Linked DNA regions of Danio rerio. The protein of the gene in region 2 binds, or shares a complex with, the protein of the main gene of each other region. Links are inferred from orthologs where the notes say so. Each region holds a gene or a part of one and is shown on either strand. Other genes may lie near its edges.

Region 1 (4,456 bases), on a different chromosome or scaffold from region 2:
CTGTCCTATTTCTCTGAAATCCCCCCACTGCAAGATGACTAAATCTATTTAAGCAATTAAATCTTGTTAACTATTTGCAGGGCTGGTTGTAATAGAATTACAAGATCAAGAAAAAAAGCTGCTTCCAACATAGAGTCCGGCATGAGACTTGAGTTATGAGTCTGTTTACATGAAAATGCTGGCTATTTAATGCAAAAACGTCCACAGAATGCAAATCCTAATAAAATGAGACGCCTGTCCAGACCCCTACTGACATAATGGCCCCATCTAGTGGGCGACTTAAAATAATCCTGCTTGACAAAACTCAGCAAGACATGTACACTGAAGCCTGTAGCATACACACATCATTTTCTAATTGACAACAAAGGGCGGACTGCGGACTCTCTACTTTTTAACGTTTACAGAAACGTAAAATGTTTTGTAAAATTATTAAATTATATAGTTTTTTGCGTGGCACCGTCAGGACGTAGTTAATAAAAATCATTTTAAACTATCAAAATAATATTCATAAACTCAATAATGTATAATAATAAATCAATCATTAGCCTATATTCTACTGTTTCACAATTTAGCCAGTAAAATATACAATCAAAGGACTATAGTTGCTAGAAAACATCACGGCACGTCTACTGACTATAACGTTTCTACGATATCAACATCAAACTGAACCTCCAGCCGTCGGAAAATTGATTTGGCCCTTTCATTCTCTTTGCAGTGGTTTGCCATGCAGGTGATCGTGGTGATCTATTAACTAGCCACAAAACCATCATGAGTAACTGAAGCGCTCACTCATTCCTCTGCTGTCTGTGTGTGGATTACACCAGTGCGCTGACTTATTATGACGCTTAGTCAAATCCAATCAGCATGCAGCTGTCGTGTCCTGAAAAAAAATTTAGTTTATAGTTTATTATTCCTGAAATCTCTTTGAAATGTGAATATAATGGTTTAATAGGACGTTTAATTATGCTGGTCATATGACGTTAAGCCAATTAAAAAGCTGTTATTCCTAATTAGTTTGACACATCCAATGCCAACAAAAAATGCGATACTATTCGATTGTACTCTATAAAATGTTCTCTTTTTTTAATTATTAAAAATGATAAATTACGACTATATGAGATTTGATTTGGCTAATTATTTTATACAAAAATATAAACGTAATAAGTGAAATCCACGTCAAGAGTTTTACTTTAAATGTCATATAAGATATAACGTTGTATTTTTTACAGTATCAGCGTAGAAATAAAACAAACTAAAAATGAAACGTTGTAAAAATGTGTCCAATCAGAGTTTAGCTGTCGTGTCCATAAGGTGAAAGGCAACTACGGCAAGCGAAGCAGTCAGAAAGCGCGGCGCTGAGTAAACAACAGCAGGAGTTCGTTGTTACTCCACTGTGGCTGAACAAACAGGACGAATATTTGCCCGTCAACTGTGATTTATAACTGTGAGTAAATTATGTTTATGTTATCATGTCGCTGTATTTGTATTGATATCCTTGGACTTGAGCAACGCGAACGTGTAACAGTGACTGTTAAAGCAATGTTCAAGTTCATCCATATGTCAGCAACCATTTACCCTTAACACCACATTTATAAGAATAGATGTACGTTTTTCGTAATTGCACATATATTTAGCAAAATCTTAACTCTTAGATAAATGTGTGTTTGCTGTCACTGGTATTTATCGTTGAGGTCTGCTTTCAGCTGCAGTAATGAATGAAACTGTCATCCTAATTTCGTGCTCTCCCATCATTGTCTTGTGATTTCAGTGTAATGAGATTGAGAGAAATATCTGGGCAGCTCAGACTATGGAGCTGGTTCCTGGTCTGCTCCGGCTGTATGCTGTCTGTATGGGCCCATGGAGGACAACATGGAGAAGCAGTTGGCTCAAATCAAGTGCCCCCACCAATCACCCGCTTGGACAGGAACATGGTTCAGGATAGAGAGTACGTTTTCTTTCTTTCTTACATTCAAAATTGTAGGTTTCAAATAACGTTAGGTCTTAAAGTCTATGCATGTAGCACTTATTAATACTGAAAATAATGTTTTATGAGTAGCAACACATAATATTCAATGTATTTCCGAAGGACAGTGAAGAATCCAAATGATGTTGAAAACTAGGCTACATCCAACAATAAAACATTTTAAATTGTAATGAAACGTAAGCTTTAGAGTATTTTGATCAAATACATGAACCCTTGGTGAGCTGACTTCTTTTTAAAATATTTTAAAAGCCTGTTCTGCAGATATATAGATTGCATCAAATTCATGATGAAACCTGTCCTGTACCTGATTTGATGCACTCTTTTCCAAATTCCAAATGACCCCTGTGGCAGAGCAGCTTGACCTGATCTCTGTATTTCAGCAAATATGTTGGAAAATCAAAGGTTGTAATAAATCTCTCTCTTTATCTCTTAATATTTATTTATCTATCTATATCGATCAATAGGTATCTGAACTACAAGTTAAAATATTTTTTAAAAAGCTTATTCTGCTCACCAAGGTTGCATTTTATTTGATCAAAATACTCTAAAACTGCCAAATTGAAATAGTGTTACAGTTCAAAAGGAATGTTTTCTTGAATACAGTTTTCAACATCATTACTCTAGTCTTCATTGTCCTTCGGAAATCCTTTGAATATGCTATTCTGCTGCTCAAGAAACATTAATTTTATCAGTGTTTTAAGAAATGCTTGTAAAACCTTTTGTCACAATAACAGTTCTGTAACTCTAGTAAAGTTAAGGAGTCAAAACCCTGATTTTCAATTGCAACAAATGAAAACACTTGTTCTGTTGTTTTCTGGAAAAAAAAGAAAGTAAATGTTTTAAAAGGCATTTTATATTCAATATCTAAGTTTTAAGTACATGCTGTTCTTTATTTATGCAGTATAAAGGCTATCAGTAGATGTGTTTACAAATTCTTGCCAGAATTAATAATTTTGTGAACGTGAATCCTCAGATTTCTAAATGCATGTTAGGCATGGGCAGTATAAGATTCTGATAGTATGAAAACCTTGGATATCACGGTTTCACACTATCATGGTATTGTGATTGCTACTATAAAATTTTCTTTTTTAAATATCTGGTAAAAAAAAACAAAAAAATTTTTTATTTCCATTGAATGCAATATTTTTTATAAAAAAAAAACATTTGAAATAGTTTGGAGCAGTAAACGTGTCAAGCAAAATAATTAAAATAAACTTAACTTCTGTTTTCTTCATTAGTTTAAAAACAATTTGAAACTCTTTGTACAGTTCAGGTCCATAGCATGTTTGTATGTTGGTTTATAAGCAATAAGCAATGTTTCCTGAATAGTGGGCAGACCAACAGCTTTTGCTGTTGAGGGTCCTTTTCTGCTGGAGATACTAAATAAATGGTAATAAAAACTTGTATAAAAAAAAAAAAAAAAAAACCTTACATGTACTTTAGAAACGGTATAACAGAAAAAAATTACGGTTTTAATACTTTGACTTTTCCAAACCGCTGTCAACCTTGACACCGGTTATCTTCCCATGCCTAATGCATGTAGATGTTATTGTGTACTATTTATTTATGCCTGTTTCATTTTTAAAAATCTCTATTGTTTATTCTAAAAATAATCATCACAGTTGCATTTTAATACAAAGAAAAAAAGTCTTTTATTGCAACAGAATGACTGTCCCAAAGGTCACCATTATCAACTGAGGCTGATCATTTTAAAATCTCTGCTAAGTACCAATATGATTCTCACTGCATTTGAACCTTTCTTGTGTTCCGCTGTAGGCATATCATGGAGCATTTAGAAGGGATTGTTGAAAAGCAAGAGTCAGAAATGACACCTCAAGAGCTGCAGCTGCACTATTTTAAGATGCACGATTATGATGGCAACAATCTGCTGGATGGACTTGAGCTTGCCACTGCCATTACACATGTTCATAGGGAGGTGTGTGTGCTTTGATATTAAACTTGACATTATTCTATGTACTTTACAAGTTTAAAGTTTGGACAAATTATTCTTTAATGAGTATTGCATTTATTCATATTAACATTCTACTGACAGCAATCCATATTTGTTTCATATACTGTGTTTTTTTTTTTTTTTTCAAACCCCACTTTCAAAGTGATTTGGTTAAGGGAGGGAAATCCTTAAAAATGCTTGAATTTTAAACTAGTAAACTATTTTAAAAATTAAGATAAAACATTGTATATTTAATATGCTAAAGATAGTAACTTAATGTTGGCCTTGGCATAAAAATGCCATCTAATAGTTTCTTAGAATACTGTACTATATAATAAAATTCTGATTATCTGATAAAATGTGATGAAGTATGTATGTAATTTGCCAGACTTGTAAAGCGCTGGAAAATTTCAAAGATGCACCTGGAAAGTGCTTAAATTTGACTTTGGAAAAGGTGTAAGAACCCTGTATTTATTAGAGAAGAGATGGGGAATGTTACCTCAAACTGCAGTCAAAAATGT
Region 2 (3,828 bases):
AGAAACATGGAGGAAAATTACACACCAGAAACTGCAAGAAACTGTTTTGAGCGCTTATATTTTCTAAATTCTAATTGTGTTACTGCTTATTAGTACACGGAAGATAACCTTAACAGAACATTGACTTAAACCAATTTTTTGTTCTGGCAGGGTCAATTTTAACTTGGCATAATGAATTGAATCCGATTAGACCATTAGCATTTCATAAAATTTTAAAAAGCATGGTTAAATGCAGTGTAACATTACTTCCTGGTGAAGCCATGGTAGAGTAGCTAGATTTCTTGCCTATTATGACAATATAAGAGCACAGTTCCTTGTAATATTGACCCCAATTTTTTTTTTAAATATTAAATAACATTAGTTAGTTTTAACACAACTTTGGATTTGAATAATGCATTAGTTAAATAATTAATTAAGACAAGAAATCCAGCTGCTGTACCATGGCTTCACCAAGAGAAGTGATATTACGGAACACTTAACCATGCTTTAAAAATTAATAAATAAATAAATAATAATAATGATATGCTAATGGTCTAATCTGATTTATGTCGTTATGCTAAGCTAAGTTAAATGTCACCCTACTAGAACAAGAAATCGTCTTAATGGATTAAAAACGGTTCATATCAACTGTTTTATTTTTGTCTATCTGTGCTTAAATGTGTGTAATGCGAGTTTCTTGGCGTACTTGTTGTCTTTTACACGTCACTGTCAACATTGCTAATAGTATATTGTTTTGCTTTTCTGGAGTATGTTGTTGTATTTTGCACTGTCTGGAGCCAGCATCTAAGCTTTTCACTCATAATAGTACACGTGCTGCTGATGATGTGATTTTATTTAATGTTGAACTATGGTTAGTAAATGCTTTACAAGACTATTCATACTTAATGTTAGTAAATACATTAATTACACTAATGGATCATTATTCTAAAGTGTTCCCGCTATGATAATCATTATGGTTGCTGGATCAATTTATATATACAAAGGTGATTTTATATGCAGTGTTTCTGCAGATATCATAATGTCAAATTTAAGACTTTAAGACCATTAAGTATTACATTTAAGACCTATATCACAATATCAAAAACACGCATACATACACAGAAAAATGCAAAACCACAAAATTAGTGATAAAATAAATGTATTCAAATTGAACAGTACTAAAGACAGGTTAGATGCACCATTGAACTACAGAAAAAACAAACAAACATCTTAAGGCTGTTTTATACTTTCGCCTGGCACTGCATTGCGCACCTCACAAAACAGACGGGGCTTTTATACTTGACGCATTCGCCATTGAGATATTCTTTTAAATGACAGGGGGCGGTCAAGCGAAACAGACAGTAAAATCAGATGGATAAACAGAGAAGTAGAAAGTTTCTGGAACTAGGTCATATCATTAAAGATTTTTAAACAAATTGTTTTTAAATATTTGTATAATTTATTATAATAATTTTAAAGATTTTTATAACCATTCAAAATTTTTTAAATCAAACTTTGATGCATCACTTGCTTTTGTTAAGATCTCGGACAGTTCTACCTATGAAAGTTAATTACATGGCAACAGAACATGGGTTGCTCTACAATTATATTTTTTTATTATGGCAAGAATAAAAGCAAAAAGTACACTGACTAAAAACCAATAAAGCCTAGAAATTGGGCATTAATATATTGTAAACCGATAGGTTTATATATTAATTTCCAGTTATCAAAGCCATTATCTGATACATAATTTCAGTTTGTAACTATTGCTTTAATTTCAAAATTGTAATATGCTGTATACATTATAGTAAAACCTATGAATGGTGGAAATACATATTTTGTAATATTAAAACCACATGGGTCTCCACTTTTGCATGGCCACTTTTTTTTTTGCTTTAACAAACTTACTGTATCCTTCAGGTTTTTCCAAACTTTTACAAAAACTTTCCTCCTTTCCCACTGCTGTTGCAATTTCTAGCCAATAGTTACTGGTCACCTGGTTCTCCTTATGATCACGCATGAATGGATCATAAAGATGTCTGTACACTACAGTCATACCCCTTTCAGACAAAATCTCTTCAAAGTAAGTTCAATTACAGAAAGCTGATTGGCGATTGCATGTTGGTCTCATTTGTAGTTGTAATACCGCAAATTACATTAGGACTAGTGAAATAAAGAACTACAACACCACAAAAACCAAGCAACAACAACAAAAAAAGAATTTAAATGAGCATTATATAAAGCGGTACATGGACATCAGAAAAATGAGACCTGTGCAAAAATATTTAAGACCTAGAACTGCGAATTAAAGACTTAAGGTCTAAAATTTAGATTTTTAAAATTTTACACTTAAGACCCCGCGGAAACCCTGTATATACATAAAGTATTTTAAATGCAAGAAAATTGTCTGCTTTAATGTTTTAAATAGCTTAGGAGAAAAAAAAGTGTAAATATAAAAGGAGCATGCCACCTTTTTTGAAAAATGCTTCTAAGAGTTAAACAGTTGACTAACTATTTTGAACCTATTCAGTTTATTTCTTGTTCTGGTGGGGTGAGTTTTAGCTTAGCATAATGAATTCAATCGGATTAGACCATTAGCATTTCATTAAAAAAAAAAGAAAAGAAAGCATGGTTAAGTGTTGCGCAATATCATCCTGCCTGAAGAAGCCATATTACAGCAGCTGGATTTCTTGCATATTACAACAAAATGAGAGCATAGTTCCCTGTAATATTGACCTAGAAAAGTGTAATTTTTTAATTTCCTTTTATTATAGTTTTTTTTTTTTTTTTTTTTGGCTTTCTGAATTTTTTGCATAAAACGGTAATGGTCTAATCTGACTCAATGCATTATGCTAAGTTAAGCTAAAAGTGACCCCATTAATACAAGAAATTGGCTGAATGGATTCAAAATCGTTCAAGTCAACGGTTTAACTCCAGTGGACTTTTAAAATGAGCCTTTTGGGGTGGAATGTTCTTTTAAGGTTATCCCTAGTGGACTCCTAATCAGTAACACAATTAGAATTCAGAAAATGTAAGCGCATATACTGTATATATAAATAAATAACTTTCACAGCAGTTTCTGATGTGTTTTCAGGGGACTTTAAATACGTCATTAAATGCACTTCGGTCATATTTCAAAAGTCCTACCTGTCCAGACTGTGCTTGTGAGGTGCGTTTGTTGATCTCGTCTGTGATGACTGACACATAACGCCGCTGTTCGTCCAGAATCATTGCCAGCTGCCTGTTCAACTGCTTGATCTCCAGGTGAATTCGATTCTGCCCCTCAAACACCTGACGGATTTCCCGATCGTTAACGCTTTCATACAGGTCCTCAACTGCCAGAAGAGAAACACCGAACAGATGACGCTTCACTACAGATATAAGGTTTCGACTTTAAATTGTAACAACTCAGTGAGGTAAAATTAGTAATGCTGGATTTAGAATAAGTTATACATGGGGATAAGTGTGAGACAGCATGGTGAAAGGGAATATTTTGAGCCCAAAATGCCCCAAAGCATGGTTAAATTAATTGAAGATGAAATAATTTGAATAAAATTAATTATACTTGTTACATGTTGGAGGTAACAACAAGATTAAACAGATTTGGATAAATAAAATAAAAATTAAATAACATAAAACTGGGGTTAGTGATAAAATAAGTTGAGTTGAATTAAATAATTCGAGTAATTAATAAATTGGAATATACAGTGGGGATCGAAAGTTCACATTTTTACCTGGGGTGCTCAAACTTTCGATCACCACTGTATATTTTAAAACTTTTAAATAAAAAATTAAGTCAGTTAAAATAAGAAAATAAAATGATTATAATTATTATAAATTGCTATTAAA

What was found.
Region 1: the proteins of lman1 (region 2) and mcfd2 are in contact, whole or in part, in a cryo-EM structure (PDB 8JP5), measured with the Homo sapiens proteins. The link is inferred for Danio rerio from reciprocal best matches to the Homo sapiens genes LMAN1 and MCFD2. Residues at the interface, in NP_005561.1 of Homo sapiens: His43, Arg44, Arg45, Phe46, Tyr48, Lys49, Ser51, Phe52, Lys53, Pro55, His56, Gln59, Ser60, Asp61, Val64, Pro65, Phe66, Trp67, Lys96, Phe265, Glu273, Lys279, Glu280, Ile281, Glu285, Lys286, Tyr289, Glu292, Phe293, Phe296; in NP_001164977.1 of Homo sapiens: Val59, Ile60, Asn61, Lys62, Gln70, Glu71, Leu74, His75, Phe77, Lys78, Tyr82, Asp83, Asn86, Asp89, Gly90, Leu91, Glu92, Thr95, Thr98, His99, Val100, Leu111, Glu114, Leu117, Ile118, Ile121, Asp122, Leu125, Asp129, Lys130.

The regions. Positions count from the first base shown.
Region 1 is NC_133188.1:9,056,101-9,060,556, reverse strand, and holds the start of mcfd2 (multiple coagulation factor deficiency protein 2 precursor), read left to right. Parts: upstream 1-1,328; 5' UTR 1,329-1,444; intron 1,445-1,768; 5' UTR 1,769-1,772; coding exon 1,773-1,945; intron 1,946-3,760; coding exon 3,761-3,920; intron 3,921-4,456. UniProt on the Homo sapiens protein: The MCFD2-LMAN1 complex forms a specific cargo receptor for the ER-to-Golgi transport of selected proteins. Plays a role in the secretion of coagulation factors.
Region 2 is NC_133196.1:12,080,213-12,084,040, reverse strand, and holds part of lman1 (protein ERGIC-53 precursor), read right to left. Parts: intron 3,315-3,828; coding exon 3,127-3,314; intron 1-3,126. UniProt on the Homo sapiens protein: Mannose-specific lectin. May recognize sugar residues of glycoproteins, glycolipids, or glycosylphosphatidyl inositol anchors and may be involved in the sorting or recycling of proteins, lipids, or both.